Lonchura striata: one gene and its partners. The protein of the gene in region 3 interacts with the protein of the main gene of each other region in a pairwise test. Links are inferred from orthologs where the notes say so. Each region holds a gene or a part of one and is shown on either strand. Other genes may lie near its edges. The genes, in order: CASS4, ARHGAP26 and CDC42EP2.

Region 1 (7,950 bases), on a different chromosome or scaffold from region 3:
ATCCTAATCCAGCCTTGGTCCCTCTACAAAGCCTTGGCAGCCCTTGGGAGTCATAGGAATGAAAGCTGCTACCTCATGTTTATTAATGGAGTAATTGTAATTAGGGGCAGTAAAGCTGATCAATGCCCAGTTCTATAACGTAAAATTTTATACCCTCAGAGTGACATCTGTGCTCTGTGCACACAATAGATATTTATGCTAAGGAAGAAACATCCCACTGTTACTAAAAATCTCCTGATGCCTCTCCTGTCTCAAGTCTTATCTTCAGTATCTAGGATAATGCAACAGAAAAAAAATATCATTATAAAATAGATACAAACATTGCTAGAAAAATCCAAGTGCACACAGTGGTGTACAGCTCGTGATAATTTGAGCATCTTGCCCACAAGCCTCACAAAATAATGTCCCTGCCCCACTCAGTTTGTATTTGAAAAATCTCAATTTGCTGCCCTGTATTATTTCATGAGCACTGCACTATTTCACAGCATTTCAGATAAAAAAGTAATTTTGCATTTATTATCTTCAATTTGCTTCTTAAAAACCCCTATTGAGATCATGTAAGTAAAGAGAGCATTTAATCCTGGGAGTTTTTGTGGATTGAGAGAAATAATTCTCACGTTGCACATCGATATATGAGTGAGCTCTTTTACTGCAGGAAAGTGGGACTTAAAATATTTGAGGGGGAAGAGATACAGGGTTGTGTTTGCTAAACATTTCTGCTCATACATCAGAGACACCTCTGACATGTTTACAGAGCAGCTCCCAGTTAATCTCCCAACAAAGCTGCAGAAATAAACATTCTCCATCATCCATTAGCTGGGAACAGGCTTCCCTGAGAATTCCCCTTTAAACCCCAGACCAGGCGAGTCACTTACATTTTGCTCAGCTAATTGTGGAGAGTTCACACCAACATCCACAGGAAAAGAGAATTTACCTTAAAAGCTCAGATCATTCTCCACCTGCGTGTGCAGCATTTCCTGTGACCTGCAGAAGGACCTTCTGCATTTTTTTTGTGCTGTTTGCCTATTTTGGAAAAGAAATGTTCAGCTCATACAGAAGTTTTGTGTGAGCTTCAAGGAGGAATGAACATCAGGACATGCTTTTATTGCTTTAATTGATTTTGTGGGGATGGAAGCAGGTGCTGATCAGCAGGTTTTGAATTCTAAATCTGAGGAAATACAGGGAAAAAATACACTTAAAAAAAAATCAGGCTTACAAATCCTGCAGCTTCACACCGGGCAGTGCTGCAGAGGTGGGAATTACAAACTGGAGTTCTGTTAATTTTCCCCAAACTCTCTTTTCTCCACAGATGAAGCCAGTCAAATCTTAGCTCTGTTAAAATCACCAGAAGGGGAAGTGCAGCCAGGATTTCACCCCACTCGGAGCATTTTTAGGGGAGTGCTCTCATGCCCAAGTTCAAGGGAAAATCAACTGCCACTTCCTGCTGCTCCCAACACTCCCTGTGGGAGCATTCCTGGGCTTTGGGTCCTCAAACCTTTCTTTTTCCCACATGCACCCAATCACTTTAGGGTTTTTTTTTTACTTTTTAAAAACTTTTTGTGGTTTAATTACACCTGACTACATTTATTTCTAAATGTGGCTTTACAGCTCGAGGAAGTCCTGGTGAGTACAAGCTGGGCACTCCTCAGAGCAGGATCCTCACCCTCTGTGAATGAGGGAAAACATCCCCAGGGAAGCTCTGGGGGAGCAAATGGCACATTTTTCATTGAAAAATGGAAATTTTCAGGAATTCCGTGGCAGCAGTGGCGAGGCTGAGGCCAGGCTGGGGGTTTCTGATCCACCAAGAATCAGCAGCAGCACGACTCCCCCAGCTGCAGCTTGCTGGGGCTCTGTGGCTGCCCTGCTCATCCCCCAAAACCTTGTCCTCACGCTGCCCTCCGCACAGGCGGTGCTTGGGAGCAAATGAACGAAACGCATTGAATAAACGAGGGATGGATGGTTTCTGAGTGAGCAGCACTGCAGTCGTGGTGTTTCTGTGGGTTTCCAGCTGGGCTCATCCCTGCTGCGAGTGCCCAGGCAGCAGCTGGGCTCTGCTCCGTGCCTGCCATCAGCCCAGGACACGCGGTGACAGCACAGCCCTGCCCTGATCTGTCCCTTGGCACAGCCCAAACCCTGCTCAGCACAAAGCCCAGCCCGGGGCTGGCGCAGAAATGGGGACAAACGGCTGCAAAATGGGTTTGATCCATCACTCAATCCCCCCCAATCCAGGAGAAAAGAGCGTTTCCTAAAAATGAGCACTGCTGTCCTCCTCTGAGCCCTTGTGATGCAGGCAGCTCTGCAGGATGTGGCCAGTCCGTGCCCTCCAGTGCAAAGGCTTTCCCAGGCTCAGACTGAAATCGCTCGGCATTTTCCTCACCCCACACTGACCTCACTTCTCCAGACATTTCCATGACCCATTTTCTAGGAATCAATGCAAAAGCATCATCTCTTTTGAGGTAATACACCGCTCAACTCTTAACCTCGTTTTTTTTTCCAAGAGAATGTGGAAGTGACCAGTCTGAGTCACTCATGATCATTTTTAATAAACTTGTTGTTACTCAATGCACACAGAACGAACCCTCACCCTCCTCAGCCACACTGCTGTTCTTGAGAAAGGGTTAATTTGGATTATATTTTTTAAATTAAGACCGCGTGCTCTCTTAGTGATGTGCAAATCAGCTGAACACACACACATTGCAAAGAGACCCTGCCAGATGCAGATTTTTTACCCTCTACCTACTACAAATGAAATCAGGAAAGTCATTAAATCAAAAAGAAAAGAACCCAGGACTTACACTGACCTTCATTTTGCTGTGTTTCCCTGTTAGTCCATCACCTGGGGAGGAGGAGGAGGAGGAGGATGTCCCCAGCCCTGTCAGTGGCTCAGGCAGCTCTGGAGGCTCTGGCTGGAAGCCTGCAGAGGGAAAGCTCAGCCCCTGCCACCTCCTGCTCGCTGGGAGCCCCAGGAAAGCAGCTCTGGGAACGGGGGGAGCTCATTACGTGGCAGAATTCTCTCCAGGGAGCCACGGGGCTGCAGCTGGTGATGTGCAGCACACACAGAGTCCCCTGCAGGGAATGCCTGCCCTGCTCTGAACAGAAAACCCAGGGCAGCAGGGCTGCACCATGAAAGGGATTGGATTTGGAAGCATTTTTGCAGCAGCATTTTTTACTCCTGGTTTGTTGTGTGTGAGGATTTGTTTGTTTGTTTTGGTTGTTGTTGTTTTTAAAAATTTCTTTTCAACTTCAAAGTGGTGTGAGGTTTGCTACATTTTTAATCTGTCTCTGGAAAACTGAACAGATCCCCTTTGTGGTTTTAAATCCCCTGCAAAACAACCTCACCCTGCAGAGGCAGAAAACGCAAGGAGGAAAGTTAAACGTGAACTGCAGCTGAAGGGTTTTGTTTCTTGGATTATTTAAAAAATCCTTGAATATTATTAAGGTATAATGTTATTTTAAGTTATTAACGGCTGTTATTTGCTTGGCAACAGCTGAGTCCAGGTCATGCTGATGCACAGGTTTTGCCACTTTGGACTCAGGATATCTTTTTGTTGGCAAATTTTTACTGGTTTTGCCTTTGTACACGCTGGTTTTTCTCTGGTAAAAGCCTCTTCCTTCCTCTTTCCACAGTAGCTTCAAGATTAAATTAGACTCTGGCTCCCAAAGCCACAATCCTGTAGTTAGAAAATACTTTAATCTCTTGAATAGAAAATGCTGAATTGAAAAGCTTCATCAACAAAATCTACACCTCTGGGCTGGGAGCAAACCAGCTGCTGTCCAGAGGAGAAAGAATTTCTGGCACAGAGGAGCCCATTTCAATGCCTTTGTGGTTTTTCTCTCCTTCCTTTTTTATTTTTTAAGTATCAGGAGCAGTAGTTTGACCCCTTCAGACACTTCATGCAGGTGATCAGGAGCCATTCATTTGCTACCCCGGAGTTTTTCAGGTGCTCCAGCATTTGGAGTAACCTCAGCTACAAACCCACAGCTTGTGGCCACAGAACTACTTTCAAATACAATTAAATGTTCCCATGAATGAGCCCCGAGGGAATCCCTGCCATGGCAGGGACACCTCCCACTGTCCCAGGGTGTTCCAGCCTGGCCCTGGGCACTGCCAGGGATCCAGAACAGCCCCAGCTGCTCTGGGCACCTGTGCCAGGGCTGCCCACCCTCACAAGGAAGGATTTTTTCCTAATATCAGCAAAATAAATATGCATTAACCTATTATGAAATTCTATGCATATAGAAATTAGTAAGGGTAATAAAAAAAGATCAAGAGTTCTCAGAGGTACCCATGTCCATTAAAGGGCAAAGAGCCCCGACATGCGTCCACAGCACTGTAAATAAACATACCTATTCCCTGCAAATCTTTAGAATTAGAATTGTGAGTTTAATTTTTCATCTGTGTTTCAGCTCAGCCGAAGCTGTCGTGGAGGGGTTTGAAATTGCAGCAAGGGCTGCAAGGCTTCCTGTGGCACCCCTGGATACGCAACAACAAACAAACATCAACTTGGCTGGGCTCAGCTTGAAATGGTTTTCAACAAACATCAACAAAAAACATCAACAAAAACATCAATAAACAAGCATCAACCTGGCTGAGCTCAGCCTGAAATGGTTTTCAACAAACAAACATCAACAAAAAACATCAACAAAAACATCAATAAACAAGCATCAACCTGGCTGAGCTCAGCCTGAGATGGTTTTCAGAGGGGTTTTCCCCGTGCAGGTGCAATAGTTGGGCACAGGGATAATTGCAGAGCATTTCCTGCCACAGCAATGCTGCTGAGGGTTGGTGCTTCGAGGAGTTCAGAGAGCAGAAAAAAAACCCCTTTGTATTTTTATATCATTCAAGTATCATCATAAACTGTACTGCCAAGGTGGTAGGGGACTTATGGACAATTCATAAGTGATGTTGCAGAAATAATTTTGGGTTTTATTACTCAGCTGAAGTGGATTGGGTGGGCTCTGACATGTCTAAAATGCTCACAGCAGAACAGGTAATCTGTTTGCTACCATTACATTGATTTATTGACAATCCGCTCAAGAGAACTGGAAATATATGTAGAAATAGGAAATTCTTCAGTATAGAGATGACAAATGTCCTGCCTCAGTTACTATGACTCAATGTGAAAAGTAGCCCCCTAATCTTTACAAGCATTGATGGAAAATTTGGAGTGTAAAAAAATGACTCACTGAGCTTTTCCTTCCCACTACATTTTCTATGAAATTTCCAGGAGGCAGTTTATGTACAGTAAACACTGAGATCATAATCCACGATGAAAACCCTAATTCCAGTACACTTATTAGGCTTGCAGAGAGCAGGACAGCAAGGCATTGACTTTGAATCAAGATTTCAGCATTCTCCAACCCTCACAGCTGCAGCAGGGCCTCTAACCTATAGAAAATTAATCTCGATTGAATGTGGATACAGAAATAAATGTAACAAACCTTATACACTGGGTCCAGTCTTTCAAAATAGGAACACAGAGTGTTTCAAAATGTTTTCTGGTTTGCATGTAACATAAAGAAATCATGTCATGCAAGAGGGCACCAGGGCTGTCACTGAAAGTCTCTGGCAAAGAAAGGATCTGTGTCTCTAATGTCACTGCAGCACAGCAGTAAGGTGGAACCCTGAATTCTATATTTATAATTTCACAAACGTGCTTACTTCCAGGTATTTTTTGTTGTTGTTGTTTTCACTCTGCTTTATCCAGGATCCTTGCTATCCCTCCCAGTCACTGGTGTTGTCATCATGAGAAGCACAGGGGGACATCAGGCACAGGAGCCTTCTGTCCCCCCGAGGTGAGGAACCCAAACTTCCCAGAACCACAGGAGCACTGAGGTTGGCAGAGACCTCTGAGACCACCAAGTCCAAGCTGTGCCTGATGCCCACCTTGTCCCCAGCCCAGAGCTCTGAGTGGCACCTCCTTGGGCACCCCCAGGGATGGGGATCCAAACCTCCCTGGGCAGCTCCAATTCCTGACCCCCTTTCCATGGGGAAATTCCTGCTGGTCCCACCCTGAGCTCCCCTAGCCCAGCCTGAGCCATTCCCTCTGCTCCTGTCCCTGTTCCCTGGGATGATCCCAAATCCCCCCGGCTGTCCCCTCCTGGCAGGAGCTGTGCAGAGCCACAAGGTCCCCCTGAGCTCCTTTGCTCCAGGCTGAGCCTCCTCAGCTCCCTCAGGGATTCTCCATTCCCTTCCCGGCTCCCTCAGGGATTCTCCATTCCCTTCCCAGCTCCCTCAGGAATTCTCCATTCCCTTCCCAGCTCCCTCAGGAATTCTCCATTCCCTTCCCAGCTCCCTCAGGGATTCTCCATTCCCTTCCCAGCTCCCTCAGGGATTCTCCATCCCCTTCCCAGCTCCATCCCCTGCCCTGGACACACTCCAGCCATGAAGGACAAGACCCGGATGGGTCTCATCACTGCTACTTCCAACATCACCAAGAATCCCACTGAATTCAACCACCGAACCCTTCCCTACCCCAAATTCAGCCCTACCTTTGCAGCTGTGTTGCTCCTTGGGCTTGCATCCATTGTTGTCATCCTGCACTTGGAGCAGCAGAGCCACGGTGGGATGGGGACGCTTCAGCCCTGCCCAGGCGCCGCGCGTGGGGAACTCCCCTCAGCCAAGTCCATCTGACAGCTCTGCCCCTAGCAGCCCTTGCAACCTGGAGACATCCTGGTGTAAGATACCATCTGAGACAACAGGACACAAAAGGAGGGCAGAATAAACCCCCCCAAAAAAAGCCCTTTTGGCCACTCCAGTGAGAAAATGAAGCGTCAAGTGGGATTTTCCTTGGTCTTCCTGCACCAAGTTGTCGCAGTTGAGCAGTGGGAAGCGGAGCCCTCTGCCCGTGCTCCTGTTTCCTCTTTTGCAGCAGTGAGAGCAGGGCTGGGGCACAGCGAGGAGCTGCCGAGGCTCGATAAGAGAGCCCTGCCCCAGTGCCAGCACTGCAGGATGGCACTGCCAGCCTCTCCCGGCTTTCCAGGCGGTCCCGGCTCTCACAGCAGCAGCAGGAGCCAGGAATTCAAAGCACCTCCAGGGAAAAGTGTTTCCAGAGCCAGGGAATGGTTTGGCTTGGAAGGGGCTTAAGGAGCACCTCACTCCATGGGCAGGGACACCTTCCAGCAGAGCAGGTTGTTCCAAGCCCATCCAACCTGGCTTTGCACACTGTGTTTTGCATTTTCTCCCTCACTAGGATGAGGTCAGTTTTTCTCAGCCCTTCTTTTTCCAACAGAAGTCCACCAACCTCGTGGCCTCAGGATGTCCAGAACATGGAAAGGCAGCAGGGTGCCAATGGCAGGATGGTTTTGTGTTAAAAAAGGAACTTTTTGCTCTTGCACTCTGAGTTCAAGCCCCCAGAACTGCAGAAGCTTGAGGTGAGAGCTCCCACTGTTCACAACCACAGCGGTGCTTTAACACATCAACCACAAACAGAGGGTTTAAAAGCAGATTCCAAACACCAACGAGTGCATGAATTACAGACAGGTGCTTCAGCAGAATTAAAAAAAAAAAGGTGGCACTCCAAAAATAAAAAAGCCACGGCTGTCACCCATCGCACATCACGCCTCAGTGACTGTGTCAGGACTTCCCTTTTCCCTGCCCCCAGCTCTGCTCCTCCTGGTTTCTCCACCAAAAAGGCCACCAGCACCAGTATCCCTCAGCACCACTGCTTCTGAAGGGTCACAAACTCAGAGGCAGAGGAGGAGCAATGAGGATTAAGCCTCAGAAATGTTTTGCATAAAGGGAGCTTTTCAAGAGAAAAATGAATTTCATTATTTAAATAAAAATCTCCCACATTCTACATTTTGAGTATGTAATTGTACCTGATTCAGGTGGAACACATCAACTGCATCATTCCAAAGTCCCCAAGCCCCAGCCTCCAATATTTGACCATTTCTCCTTTGTTATACAGAAAATAAATACAATTCCTTCTTTATGTATCAAAGAGCTTT
Region 2 (7,131 bases), on a different chromosome or scaffold from region 3:
CCTTACTCCAGTCTCACCATCCCTGCGTGCCCGTGCTGCTGCTCCTGCCCAGCTCTGCAGAGGGCTTTTCCTCTTCCTCCCTCTTCATCTTCCTCCCCTCCTCCCCAGCCCCACGGCCCCTCAGCAATTGCACAGAGCTACACGTTCTCCCCACGCCTGCCCTCGTGCAAAGAGGATGTGAAATGTTCAGCAGAAAAGGCAAGAGGAAGGAAAACGAGGGAGGATATTGCCAAGACTTCACAGAACTCTGGCTGCAGGCAGTCACGCTGCCCAAGGGCACCCCCAGAACCCCTCATGTGCTGGGGCAGGGGTCTGCTGCCCCCAGGCCTGCCCAGCTCCACAGTCACAACAGCTGAGGAGCAGCACGGAGACAATGGCAGTGAGATAAGGCCACCATGCCCAGCCATGGAGACAAACCAAAACCACATGGAAACACCACTGAAAAATAAAAGCTGGCTAAGAAAAGCAAGCTTCTGGTGAGTCAGGAATGTCCCCCAGAGGTGCACTGGCTCACGGGGGTGACATCCCAGCCCCTGTGACACAACCAGCAACAGGCAGCACAGCAGCTCCCCACCCCTGGAGCATTTCCATCCCTGCTGCTGGACACTGGAATGGTCTGCAGGGACTCATACAGCACATCAGACCTGTCACACACTGAGGGTGACACAGGTGGGACGAGCCAGCCCAGATCCCACCCAGCACCGGATCAGTCAGAGGAAGCACAGCCTGAAGCAGCCCCACAGCCCCTGAGGTCACTCGTACAGCAGGAGAAGGATGCACAGAGGGCCAAGCATCCCAGCCAGGGAGGGGACACCCCTGCCCAGCCTGCCGGGCAGTGCCCTGCCCCACATGGCCCAAACCCTGCCCCAGAGAGCCCTGGGGCCACCCCGGTGCCACACGTGCCGGGGAGGTGGCGGCAGGGCAGGCAGGGCTGGCGCCTGGGCACCGATTTACCCTGCAGCAGAATCAGCGTTATTCCCGTCCCTGCACCACTGAACTCCCCCCAGCCCTGTGCAGGAATTAAGGGCTAATCCAGGAACACATTCAATAGGAGCTCCAAAACAATTCAGCCATAAAAACATCCTTATCTGCAGAGGCCAGCGAGCGTTCTTCCTGCCCAGCGCTGGGCGTGCGGCACGGCCGGGGCACAGCAGCCCTGAGCCCACAGGGGCTCACAGCACACCCCAAAACACCTCACACAGCCTGCCCAGGGCTGGCTGCTCACCTCAGCCAGCACCTGCCACAAGCTAACTGACCAAGCCCACACACACCTGAGGACTCACCAGCTCACTCCCAAAATGTATTTTCCGTGAAGAGCAGCGCTGTAGGATTTGTTCTGGGGTAAAATGAATGCTACAGGCAGGGCCTGGCACTGCTGCCTTCAGCAATTGCTCCACAGCAGGACACAGCTCAGACCTGCAGAGCCATAAATGCACCCACAGCTGTCGGGTTTGAGATTCTTTTGACCCCAAATGCCAAGAACTGGTACAATGGGAGTCCCTGTAACCCAGATGTTACCAGCTGCTACTTCAGCACAGAGGAACTACACCCATGGGGCTCGGTGTGAGAAGGGGAGGGAGCAGGAATCAGCCCTTCTGGGAATGGACAGGGTGGTGGGAATGGATGGAGCATCACCTGCCGTGCACCCTGGGGAGACCTCGCTGTCCCCCAGCCCCCACAGTGACCCTGGCCAGGCTGGTTCACAGCAGGTGATGCTGCAGGGGCTCCATGGCACCTGTTTGTGATGTGCCCCTGTCAGCCCATGGCACAGACTGGTGACCATGTGTGCTGCCAGCATGCTGGGTACAGGCACTCCCCTGGATGGGGAAATGCCCTGTGGTGTGGGCCAAAGAAACTTAAACACAAGAAAACCCCAATGACCCCGTGAGGGAACAGCAGAAACAACATCTCCAAAGCTTGGGGCGCAGCTCACCCAGCACAGCTCCCCAAGATACTGGCAGCAGGTAGCCATGCAGAGGTGTCTCCAGCCCAGCTGTGGGGACAGGAGCCAGCCCAGCCCGGGCATCACGGAACACCGGGACGCTGCCAGCCACAGGTGAGGGTCTCCCCATGCCCGGAGCCACAGCCTGCATGGCTGCATCCCCCTCCCACCCAAACCTCACTGGCTTGCAGCTTTGCAGCCACCCCCGCTTCCCCATGGAGACGGAGAGGAAGAAACTGGAGGGGTCAGCCCGGGCAGAGGCACGGGGGGCTCCGGGCATCGCCCACCCCGAGCGGAGCCGGGACAGAGGACAACCGGAGCGGGGAGCGGGGTGGGCAGGCACCAACCCACCACCCCAGAAAACCGCTGCCAAAGGATGCGACCCCCGAGGCTCACGGACCGGGACCTGGCGGGCGAGGACCAGAACCACCCACATCCCAGTGGACCACGGCCACGCACATCCCGACGGAGCAGGACCGGAACCCCGCACGCCCCGATGGACCCACCCTGACGGGCCACACGTGCCGGGATGGAGCAGGACAAGGCCCGCGCGTGTGCCGGGGGTCCAGAAGCGGGACCGCGCGTGTCCCCGCGGAGCACGGCCAGGCACATCCCGGAGCACATCCCGCCGGAGCCGGAACCGGCACGGCCCCGCGGCCCGGCCACAGCACGGCACACCGGGGGGCCCGGATGGAGCAGCCCCCGTGGCGGGGCGGGCGCGGCTCGGCGGGCGGGGGGCGCGGGGTCCCGCAGGGCCGCCCCCAGCCCCGCACTTACTCTTGAGGGCGGCGACGAGCGACTTCCCGTCCTTGATGAGCTCCTTGATGAACTTGTTGGTCTTGTCCAGCTCGGCCTCGTGCGAGCGCAGCCGCTCCCGGAACTGCGGGCTGTCCAGGCAGCACTCGCTGAACTCCAGCGCCGGCAGCCCCATGCTGCCCGGCACGGCGGGGAAAGCACGCAAAAATCCGGAGGAAACGCAAAACGGAAGGGCTTTTAGGGCGAGGCGCGCAGCTGGGGGTGCGGGCGGGCGGCGGGAGCGCGGTGCCGGGCCGGGCCGGGCCGGGCCGGGCCGAGCCGAGCCGGGAGCGGGGCCGGAGCGCGGCCGGAGCGCGGCCGGGCGGAGCGGCGGGAGCGGAGCCGCGCGGGGGCGGAGCCGCTGCGGCCGCGCTGGGGCCCCGCCCGGGCCGGGCCCGCCCTCGCCACGCCCCCCCGCCACCAGCCAATAGGCGCGCTCCGGCACCGCTTTTCCCCGCCCACTTTTCCCGCTCGGCCAATCAGCTGCGGGGGCGGGGCGGAGCCGTGCCCTGCCCGCCGCTCCCGCACCTGGGCCGGCGCCGCCGCTGCGGAGCCGCCTCCGCCCGGGGCGGGGTCGGCCCTGCCCCGCTCCGGCCCTGCCCCGGCCCTGCCCCGCTCCGGCCCTGCCCCGGTCCTGCCCCGGCCCGGCCCTGCCCCGCTCCTGCCCCGCTGCTGTCCGGCCCGCCCCCGCTGCGGGGAAATCCGCGCCCGGCCTGCGGGAGCACCGCTCCGGCCCGGCCGGGTGGCGGCTCGCACGTTTCTGCTCCCACCATCGCACATCTGTGCTGGAGATTACTGCCCGGGCTTAGTGGTGTGGTCTGAGAGAATGAACCCGTAATCTCCTGATTCCATTCCCTAGCAGGGAAGGGCGGTGGGGCGCTGGCCCAGCGCCGTGTCCCCAAAAGCATCATCCCAGGGACGATGGCTGTCACACTTCCCTCCACATATGATGGCCGTCACCAGTTGTCCCCCCAGACGATGGCTGTCGCCGCGCACACAGCCCCGGTGCTTCTCCCCACAGCCCGCTTCCTTCGGGAGCACGCCGGGGGTTTGGCCCGGGCGCAGCAGCCAAATTCCTGCTCCTTCCTTTCCTCGTCACCTCCTTCCCCCGGCCGGGAGCTCCCGGAGCAAAGCGCAGCCGCACCGAGCAGCCGCTCCTCCGCGGGACACCGGGACACACCGGCAGCACCTGATGCCGGGACACACCGGTGCGGCTGATGCCGGGACACCGGGACACACCGGCAGCACCTGATGCCGGGACACACCGGTGCGGCTGATGCCGGGACACCGGGACACACCGGTGCGGCTGATGCCGGGACACCGGGACACACCGGTGCGCCTGATGCCGGGACACCGGGCTGCACCGGTGCGGCTGATGCCGGGACACCGGGACACACCGGTGCGCCTGCCGCCGGGACGCCGGGACACACCAGCAGCGCCTGCCCCGCCGGCCGGGCATACCCACACAATAAACCCGGCACAAGCACAGCAGCACGGCTCCCACGTCTGGCACTTTTCCCTGTGCTTATTTCTGTTCGCATCCTGCTGTTGTTTCACGGCAGAAGCCCCGGCCCGGCCGGCAGCGAAGCGCCCCGAGCCCCGCGGCGGCCGCAGGGACGGGCCGGCGGTGGCCGCCGTGCCCCGGGCTTGAGCACCGGCCACGCTGGCGGAGATCCCCGAGGGGCCGCGGTTGCCCGGTTTGCCCGCCCAGCCGGCCCGCCGGGGAAGGCACAGCGAACATTCCTGTCAGCTCAGCCGTGAGCGCCGCCGGGGCCCGGGCCAGCGCTCCGGCCGGCCGCGGGAGGATGGAGCGCGGTCCTGCACCCAGCTCCGCCTGCAGCGCGGGCTCCAGCCCCGCCCGGCCTCCGAAACTTCACCCACCGGCGTTCTGCAGAGCGTGGGTGTGGGCACAGGAGCCTGACACCAGCTCGACCTTTTGTCTCTGTTTTTTCAGCCCTCTAAAGCACGATTCTCTCCATCCTCACACCGCAGCCTAATTCAGGCTGAGTCACCGCCTTCAAATATGGTCTGTGAGCCACATTTTTTTGGATGAGGCCTCCTAATTATAAAAAAGGATGTAATACTAATTGCATGCTTATCTTGTAGGCAGGATATAAAGTTTAATGAGCTGTCATTTACGCCATATGCACACAGCCCCATAAAAGCATGAGATGTTATTATTTGGATTATGCTCCCTAATTCTACGCTGCACAAAGCCACAGGAGCACTATTTTGGTTTTATCCTTCTCCATCACCATTGTTCATATTTAAAAGCGTTCCAGCACTTACTGTTAATAGAGAAGAGCCTGTAACTAGATTTATAGGACACTGCCTTAGAGGATGCAAATATCTGGGGCTTGAAATTGATTTTTTTTTCAGCTCTTTTCCAGAATCACAGAAAATGATGATGCCTAGACTGTCATTTTCTGATGAGGACAGAATCAAGGCCTTACAAAGCTCTGCTACACATGAAGCACCACAGGAACTGAGGCCTCAGGCAGGCAGTGAGGAATCTTCTCCCCTTCTCCTGGCTGCATTCATCAGGAGACACTCATGTTTGAGCTCCAATTGGGAGAGCAGAGCAGAGCAGAGCAGCAGGACTGGTGAGGAACAGCCATGGACCTCTCCCAGCCCCATTTCCCTGTGATTGTGCATCCAAGCTGCAAAAGAATATCACAGAATACCCTGAGTTGGAAGGGACCAACAGCGATCATCAAGCCCAGCTCATGGCCCTGCACAGGACACCACAAGAATCCCACCACATTCCTGAGAACGTTTATCACTGAAAGGAAAAATAAGCAAACAAACGGCCCAGACTTCCACATCATCCTGCCTGTGGATGACAACAGTTTGCATCCCTCTGTAATCCCTGCCATATTTGCCTGCTTTGATTTATTGTTTCAAGCAGCTGGGTTGTCTCACCCCCAAGTGAGCCAGGTCAGCTGGACACCGTGTGGGGATCCAGCAGCACTGGACACAAGCCTGGCCACTGAGAGCTCGTCCCACTGGCCACAGCCACCCTCCTGCCAGCCTCTGCAGGGCTGTGCTCACTCATCCTCCCCACAGAGGAAAGCTGTGGCTGCCCTAATCCCTCACTCCCACCCGAGCCGGCCTTGACCACACATTAGCACATTCTCCCTCACCCACCAGCCCACATCCCACAGCTCACTCACTCAGGGAACATCTGCAGAAAACTACTCCAGCATTAAAATACATTTTTAAAAGAGCCGTTTCTACCTAGATTGTGTGACCCTGGATCAATTAACTGCTGGTGCAGGGGTGGGGGCTGTGGAAGGAAGGGAGAGCCGGCCAGAGGGCAGGCTTAGATGGGATACTGGGAGGAAATCCTTCCCTGCGAGGGTGCTGAGGCCCTGGCACAGGGTCTTGGAGCTCCTGGGACTTGGAGCAACCTGGGACAGTGGAAGGTGTCCCACCGAGACCTGGGAGATCTTTGAGGCCCTTTCCAGCCCAAACCAGGGTGGGGTTCTGTGCCTGCACCAGCCCAGCCCCAGCTGCTCTCCCCAGCGTTATCTCTGGGTGGGTCACGCAACCAGCTGGATTCAACCGGTTTGTTTGAAAAACAGCAATTCTTTCCAGAGTGAGCTCTCCGCTGGATCAGCTCCCTCATCTGAGCGCAGCATCCTCCCGCCTCCACCCGGCAGCGCATCCTCGCCGCCGCTGTCGCTGCGTGTGACACAGCCACCGGCACCGCGGCGCAGGGAGCCCCTTCTGCCCCGGGCAGGCTTCCTGCGGCCGGGCTCGGCAGCGGCAAAGCTGCGGCGACAGCAGGAGCGGGAGGGGAGGAGGCAGCCCCGGCCCCGTGCAGCTCCCGGCTCCGCCTGGGCCGCTCGGGGCGATGGAGCCCGCGGAGGGGCTGGCTCCGAGCTGAGCCCCGCAGCCCTGGCTGTCCGGGGGTCCCCCGGCTGCTGCCCCGCTCCAGCAGCGCTCCCACCCGGCCTTCCCCCCTCGCACCGACCCCTGAATATCAGCTGGCACAGAGGTCTGAGGCTGGGAGGGGAGGAATATCAGGAGATGGCAAAGATCTCCAAAAGAGGCTCTTACCCCAATATATGTCAGTTCAGCTCTCTTTATTCTGTGGTGTCCAAGGGGAGAGCGGGGCAAAAGAGAACGAACAGGAATTGTCGGGGGTCTGTACAGACTTTGGGCAGGGTGGGCTTCCCTGGCTCTCCCGTTGGGGCAGGAAGGAGGGTCCAGGGTGATCTGATCAGAGTCACAGGGAATGGGGAAGGGGAAATAGAGTGCCCATGGGCTCACTGTGACACCCACCTGCAAAAACCAGGCAGAACCCACGTTACAGGGGCAGGAACAGTGCAAAGCCACCCCCTGCTCCAGATCCCACAGCTTGGGCACTAATGCACTTCATTGAACCCCAG
Region 3 (7,258 bases):
CTGCCCCGTTTTCCCCCCATCCGCCCAGACCCCGTTACCGACCGGCGCTGGCGCCGCTCCCGAGGCCGCGAGGGGAGGGAGGGGAGGGAGGGGAGGGGAGGGGAGGGAGGGGAGAGGGTCCGGGAGGGGAGAGGGTCCGGGAGGGGAGAGGGTCCGGGAGGGGAGAGGGTCCGGGAGGGGAGAGGGTCCGGGAGGGGAGAGGGTCCCGGGCGGTCCCGGGGATCGGGGCCCGGCCCCGGCTCCGTCCGGCGGCTCCGGGCAGGAGAATCCTGACGGTGCAGAAGCGGCGCCGCTAATCCCGGGATTAGTGCGGGACGGGCGGGAGGGGCGGGGACAGGGATGGGACAGGGATGGGGACAGGGACAGGGATGGGACAGGGATTGGGATGGGATAGGGACGGGACAGGGATGGGACAGGGACAGGGATGGGACAGGGACAGGGATGGGACAGGGACGGGACAGGGATGGGGACAGGGACAGGGATGGGACAGGGACAGGGACAGGGACAGGGACAGGGATGGGACAGGGACGGGACAGGGATGGGGACAGGGACAGGGATGGGACAGGGACAGGGACAGGGACAGGGACAGGGACAGGGACAGGGATGGGACAGGGATGGGGATGGGACAGGGATGGGACAGGGATGGGACAGGGACAGGGATGGGACAGGGATGGGGATGGGGACAAAGGGACAGGGATGGGACAGGGATGGGGATGGGGACAAAGGGACAGGGATGGGGACAGGGACAGGGATGGGACAGGGATGGGGATGGGGACAGGGACAGGGATGGGACAGGGATGGGACAGGGATGGGACAGGGACAGGGATGGGGATGGGGACAGGGACAGGGACAAGATTGGGGACAGGGACAGGGACGGGGACAGGGAATCTTCCTCTGGAATCACATCCACACCGGTGCCGCGGGGAAGCACCGCGGCCATTGGAAAAAGGGGAACGTAGGGCAAAAAGTAGGATTGAAGTGGAGAAAAAAAAGTGAAATTGTAGGGAAAAGAACTGGGCTGTAGGGAAAAAAAAATGGAATTCTAGGAGGGAAAATGGGTTTGTGGGGGAAAGAAGTGGATCTGTAGGGAATAAGGTGGATCTGGAGGGAAAGAAGGCTGTGAAATGTGGATCCCCAGGTGTGGCTGGGGCTGACGGGGATGCCTGTCCCGGTGCTCCGGGATTTTTGCCTCCTGGAAATCTCCGGCAGCCCGAACAAGGCCCCGGTCCCTCCCCTGGGCCGCTCCCGCGCGGCTGCGCCGGGACAAAGCCCCGGAACGTTCCGGGAGCTCCGGGAGCTCCGTTCCCTTTGCGCTGCCAGAGGGAAACCCCTGCAACGGGCGACTCCAGCCCCAAAATCCCCTCCTCTGGAATTCTGTAGGACTTTATTTTTTTTTTTTCCTCCCCCAGGCAAATCCTGTAGGGAGATCCGGAACAGGTGAAAAATGGGCTGGAAAAGGAGGAAAACCGTGAAGAAAGCTCCAAAAAAACCCCCAATTTCTGGGAGTTTCCACCCCTGAAATCCCAGGAGAACCCAGGACACCCCAGAAGGAAGAGTCAGGAACGAGGAAAACAGGGAAAAAGAGCAAAAAACAGGGGAAAAAAGGGATGTTTTCCCCAGGATCTGAGTGGGAGGAGCTCCAGGAGGTGTTTCCAGGACTCCGACCCTTGGAATCGCCTGAATCAGCAGATTCGATTCCCACGGAGGAAAATTTGAGGAATTTTCCCCTGTTTCCATCAATTCCGGCTCCAATGGAGGATATCCTGTTCCTTTTCCACCCGTTTTTGGTGATTTAGGGTTTGGATTGGGAGGAATTTGGGCTCTTTCTCTGAAATTACAGGAAAATTTTGGTCCTTTTTCAGCACTTTGGGCTTCAGCCCATCCAGGTTTTTCACTTTCCACCTGTTCTTGGAAATTCAGGCTTCAGCTCAGGAAACATTTGGGATTTTTTTTGCCTCTTGCCACAAATTTACCTCTCACAACCTGGACATTCCGTTCCTTTTCCACCTGGTTTTGGAAATTTCTACCTCAATGTGAAATTTTCTGCCCATTTTCAGCCCCTTGAGCTTCAGGACCTCAACATTTTTACATTTCCCACCGTTTTTCCAGAAAAATTCCTCACTTCCTGCCCATTTCCAGCATTTTGGGCCCTGCCACACAGAAATTTGGGGGGTTTTAGCCAATTTTCAGGCATTTTGGCACTGTCTGAGCAGCTCTTCCCCACTCCGGTGTCCCCACGAGAAATCCCATCCACATTTTTCCCCAAGCGGGGATTCGGGGATGGAATGAAATTCCTTTTCCCATGGGAATGGCCCGAGGGAGGAGCAGCCTCCAAGATCTCCTGGGGTTCCTCCCATTCCTCCCCTCCTGACCCGTTCCAGCCTTTTTTTGGTGCCCGATTTTAAATCCCCGCCTCCGGATTCGCCCCGGGGTCGTGCCGCGGGCTGGATTTTCCCGAAAAAGGATGGAAATGCCCCATTGCCCTGCGGTCCCGAGCGGCCCAGAGGAAGAAGAGCCCTTTGGGATGAAGGTCCTGGGGTTTTTTGGGGAACGGGGATTTTGGGAGCGGCGCCAGGACCCGTCCGTGGGATCCGGCCCCGCGCTGGCCACGGGAAAAGCTGGAATTGGTTAAAATCGGTTAAATCCGGGAAAGAATTCCCTGATCCCGCCCCACCTCGGGGATCCAGCGGAGGGTCCGGCGCGGGGGCAGCGCGGCGCTGACAATTCCATGGGGACTGCGGGACCTGCCGGGTCCTCCCTTTTCCCAGGAAAACCCTCGGGACAATCCCAGGAAAAGCCGGACGATGAGGAAGGAAGGAAGAAGTCTCGGCCTCGGCCACACCCCGGTGTCCGCGGTGCCAAAAAATCCAGGGAAAAAACCAAAATCCAGGGAAAGCAGCGGCGGCTGCGTCGGGCGGCTCCTCCCGGGCCGGGATTCCCGGGAAGTGGCGCTGGGAGCGGCCGCGGCTGGGAAAGGGATCGGAGCCTGCCCGGGACACTCCGGAGCGGCGCCTCGGGAATCCGGGGCTCGGAAATCCAGAGGTTCGGGAATCCGGGGGCTCGGGAATCCGGGGGTTTGGGAATCCGGGGGTTCGGGAATCCGGGGGCTCGGAAATCCGGGGATTCTCCTGCTCGCAGGAAAAAACGCCCGGAAAGCGCCGGGCAGGGATCCAGGAGCTGTTCCGGGGATCCAGGAGCTATTCCATGGATCCAGGAGCTATTCCAGGGATCCAGGAGCTGTTCCGGGGATCCAGGAGCTGTTCCGGGGATCCAGGAGCTGTTCCAGGGATCCAGGGGCTGTTCCAGTGGCTATTCCATGGATCCAGGAGCTGTTCCGGGAGCTATTCCAGGGATCCAGGAGCTATTCCATGGATCCAGGGGCTGTTCCGGGGATCCAGGGGCCGTTCCGGGGCCGTTCCAGGGATCCAGGAGCTGTTCCGGGAGCTATTCCATGGATCCAGGGGCTGTTCCGGGGATCCAGGAGCTGTTCCAGGGATCCAGGGGCTGTTCCAGTGGCTATTCTATGGATCCAGGGGCTGTTCCATGGATCCAGGAGCTATTCCATGGATCCAGGGGCTGTTCCAGGGATCCAGGGGCTGTTCCGCGGCCGTTCCGCTGCTCTAAGCCGGGAGCAGGCGGAGCCGGGGAGCTCCAATTAAGCGCTGGTTTAATTAAGCCGGGAAGCGGGGAGGAGGTGGGGGAGGGATCCGCTCCTTTTTCCTGATCCAAGGAAGGAATCGCCGCTTTCCCTTTAAATCCGGGACGCGACAGCGCCGCGGACGCGGCCGGGGGCAGGAGGGGCTGCGCCCGCGCTCCCCTCCCCTCCCCTCCCCTCCCTTCCCTCCCTTCCCTTCCCTCCCCTCCCCTCCCCTCCCTTCCCTCCCTTCCCTTCCCTTCCCTCCCCTCCCCTCCCCTCCCCTTCCCTCCCTTCCCTCCCCTCCCCTTCCCTTCCCTTCCCTTCCCTTCCCTTCCCTTCCCTTCCCTTCCCTTCCCTTCCCTTCCCTTCCCTTCCCTTCCCTTCCCTTCCCTTCCCTTCCCTTTTCCCGAATTCCCGGCGGTGTCACCTGCGGACCTCGGGATTGGGATCGGGGCCGGGATTTGGGGTCAGGATTCGGGATTTGGGGTCAGGATTCGGGATCGGGATTTGGGATCAGGATTCGGGATTTGGGATCAGGATTCGGGATTGGGATTTGGGATCAGGATTTGGGATCGGGGCTGGGATTTGGGATCGGGGCTGGGATTTGGGATCAGGATTCGGGATCGGGATTTGGGATCAGGATTCGGGATTTGGGATCGGGGCCGGGATTTGGGATCAGGATTCGGGATCGGGGCCGGGATTTGGGATCAGGATTTGGGATCGGGGCCGGATTTGGGATCAGGATTCAGGATCGGGGCCGGATTTGGGATCAGGATTTGGGATCAGGATTTGGGATCAGGATTTGGGATCGGGGCCGGGATTTGGGATCAGGATTTGGGATCAGGATTTGGGATCGGGGCCGGGATTTGGGATCAGGATTCGGGATCGGGGCTGGGATTTGGGATCAGGATTCGGGATCGGTCCCGGCGCAGCCGCTCCCGAGCGGATCCCAGGCCCCCATCCCGGCCTCAATTCCCTTCCCGGGAATTCCCGGAGCTCCCTCGGCCTCTCCTCTGGGAAGGAGCCCCGAAAATAAATCTGGAAAAACCCCAGCGGGACCGGCTCCCTCCCAAAACCCTCGGAATTCCCGAATTAAATCCCGAATTAGGGATGGATCGTACGGTGGGGGCTCTGTGGGGGGGAAGAGTCGAAATTCCCCAAATCCCCCCAGGACCCGGCTCTGGCTCTTCCTGCTGCTGTTTTAACCAAAATCGGAGTTTTTCCAAGGGAAACCGAGGCGGGGGGAGGAGAACCCAAGGGGAAACCTGGGAGGGAATGGGATTCTGCTCCCCTCCCCTCAGGTGCAAAAAAACCCGAAAATAAAGCTGGAAATGAGAGGAAAGTAAGATTTTATGGATGTTGGAAAAACTGTATTTGATTTGGGGTGAGAAGTGCTGGAATTGGGCAAAGAGCAGAGGAGGAACCGGGAGGTGACCTTGGCACTTCCCAACTGCTCCATGCAGATATTTAGGGAGAAAAAGGAGATTTTTGGGAAAATTCCGGCCACACGGCAGAGTTGTGAGTTTCCCTTCCCAGCCGCAATTTTCTCTGGTTTTCCCCCAAAATCCACCCCTTGGATTTATCTTTTCCCATAGGAAATGACACCGGGACAGGCAGAAACTTTAATTAATTTTCACCTTCATCATCATCATCATCATCATCAATTTGGGGCAAAAATTTTGGGAAAAGGGTCAAAGCCAGACCCGCAGCTGTTTTTTCCTGGGAAGCAGCAGGAAGCAGCGCCAGGATTCCACAATTAATTGGTTCTGGACTAATTAAACTCCAAGTTCCCTAATGAGGTCACCGAAGGCAAAGGGTGATGCCAGGACAGGGAGGATCCCACGCCCGGATTCCGCTTCCCAAATTCTGTTTTACTGGAGGTGAATCCTGAATCCTCCTGGGGAAATCCTCCACATGCCAAACGGTTCTGGGGCTTTTAAACTGGAATTCCAGCAGTTTTAATTGTAATTCCAGGAGTTTTAACCAGAATTCCCAGAGTTTTAACCAGAATTCCAGGAGTTTTAACCAGAATTCCCAGAGTTTTAACCAGAATTCCAGGAGTTTTAACCCCAATTCCTGCCCCTGCAGCCCTGGGTGGGAACGGGCAGAGCTGGGAGCTCAAATCCTCACGACCTGGGCGGCCACGCAGGGGCTGCTCCGGGGGGCGTCCCTGGGAATGTCCCTGGGAATGTCCCTGGGAATGTCCCTGGGAATGTCCCTGGGAATGTCCCTGGGAATGTCCCTGGGAATGTCCCCGGCATTCTCTGCAGGATTGTCCCCGGTTCTGTCCCCATCCCTGTCCCCGGTTTTGTCCCCATTTCTGTCCCTGGTTTTGTCCCCATCCCCGTCCATGTTTCTGTCCCCGTCGCTGTCCCCAGTTCTGTCCCCGGTTTTGTCCCCAGTTCTGTCCCGTGTTCTGTCCCTGTCGCTGTCCCCAGTTTTGTCCCCATTTCTGTCCCTGGTTTTGTCCCTGTTTCTGTCCCCATCCCTGTCCCCGTCCCTGTCCCCATTGTTGTCCCCAGTTCTGTCCCATGTTCTGTCCCCGTCGCTGTCCCCGGTTTTGTCCCCGTTGTCCCCATCCCTGTCCCCATCCCTGTCCCCGGTTTTGTCCCCATCCCTGTCCCCGTCCCTGTCCCCGTCGCTGTCCCCGTTGTCCCCAGTTCTGTCCCCATTTCTGTCCCCGGTTTTGTCCCTATTTCTGTCCCCGTTGTTGTCCCCATCCCTGTCCCCATCCCTGTCCCCGTCGCTGTCCCCCGGCCGCTCTCTCCGCAGCAGCAGCCGCCCGTAGGTGCCCCCAGCCTGGCCCTTGGTCAAGCGCCCGGGGTTGATGCAGACACAGCCCAGGACGTCCTGCGGGGGACACGGACACGGATGGGGACATGGACACGGACGGGGACACGGACAGGGACAGAGGACAGGGACAGAGGACAGGGACAAGGACATGGGACAGGGATGGGGACAGGGATAAGGGACAAGGATTGGGACACGGACAAGGATGGGGGAACAGGACAGGGAACAGGGACGGGGATGGGGACAGGGACAGGAGACAGGACAAGGGACAAGATTGGGGACACAGACAGGGGATGGGGACAGGGACAGGGACAGGCACAGGGACAGGGACAGATTCCTGACCTTGACGAAGAAGCGCAGCTCGGACGGCGTCACCAGGACGTCGGGGGTCACCGGCAGCGCCGCGAACGCCGCCAGCGCCTCGAAGTCCACGTTGAGCTCCTCGGAGGGCGGGTACAGGGGGTAGAAACTGCAGGGGGGGTTTCGGGGAGAAAAAAGGGGGTTTTGGGGAGGACAGAGGAGTTTTTGGGAAGGCAGAGGGGGTTTTTGGGGAGGAAAGAGGGTTTTTGGGAGGTCCTCACCTGCGCTGGGTCAGGATGTGCCGCAGGATCCGCGTGAAGCGGTCGGAGACGCCGGAGGAGCTGTGGGAGAAAGGGGAGGGAAATGGGTGAGAAAAGGGAGGAAACAGGAAAAAAAGGATGGGGAAAAAGGGGAAAATGGGAAAGGAAAATGGGGAAAGAGGAGATTGGGGGGGGAAGGGAAGAGAGAAAAGGCAGAGGAGAAAAGGGGAAAAAAGGGGAAAAAAGGGGAAAAAATGGGGAAAATGCTAAA

The links.
Region 1: the proteins of CDC42EP2 (region 3) and CASS4 interact in binary tests that used the Homo sapiens proteins (3 or more experiments, as listed by UniProt). The link is inferred for Lonchura striata from reciprocal best matches to the Homo sapiens genes CDC42EP2 and CASS4.
Region 2: the proteins of CDC42EP2 (region 3) and ARHGAP26 interact in binary tests that used the Homo sapiens proteins (3 or more experiments, as listed by UniProt). The two-hybrid records come from large-scale screens. The link is inferred for Lonchura striata from reciprocal best matches to the Homo sapiens genes CDC42EP2 and ARHGAP26.

What each region holds. Positions count from the first base shown.
Region 1 is NC_134619.1:2,550,736-2,558,685, reverse strand, and holds the start of CASS4 (cas scaffolding protein family member 4), read right to left. Parts: upstream 3,053-7,950; 5' UTR 2,808-3,052; coding exon 2,802-2,807; intron 1-2,801. UniProt on the Homo sapiens protein: Docking protein that plays a role in tyrosine kinase-based signaling related to cell adhesion and cell spreading. Regulates PTK2/FAK1 activity, focal adhesion integrity, and cell spreading.
Region 2 is NC_134617.1:1,008,122-1,015,252, forward strand, and holds the start of ARHGAP26 (rho GTPase-activating protein 26), read right to left. Parts: upstream 3,006-7,131; 5' UTR 2,874-3,005; coding exon 2,720-2,873; intron 1-2,719. UniProt on the Homo sapiens protein: GTPase-activating protein for RHOA and CDC42. Facilitates mitochondrial quality control by promoting Parkin-mediated recruitment of autophagosomes to damaged mitochondria.
Region 3 is NC_134638.1:217,630-224,887, reverse strand, and holds the start of CDC42EP2 (cdc42 effector protein 2), read right to left. Parts: upstream 3,034-7,258; 5' UTR 2,675-3,033; intron 12-2,674; exon of another isoform or gene 1-11. Other genes in the region: POLA2 (DNA polymerase alpha subunit B), read right to left, coding at 5,298-5,356, 6,280-6,487, 6,770-6,896, 7,009-7,068. UniProt on the Homo sapiens protein: Probably involved in the organization of the actin cytoskeleton. May act downstream of CDC42 to induce actin filament assembly leading to cell shape changes. Induces pseudopodia formation in fibroblasts in a CDC42-dependent manner.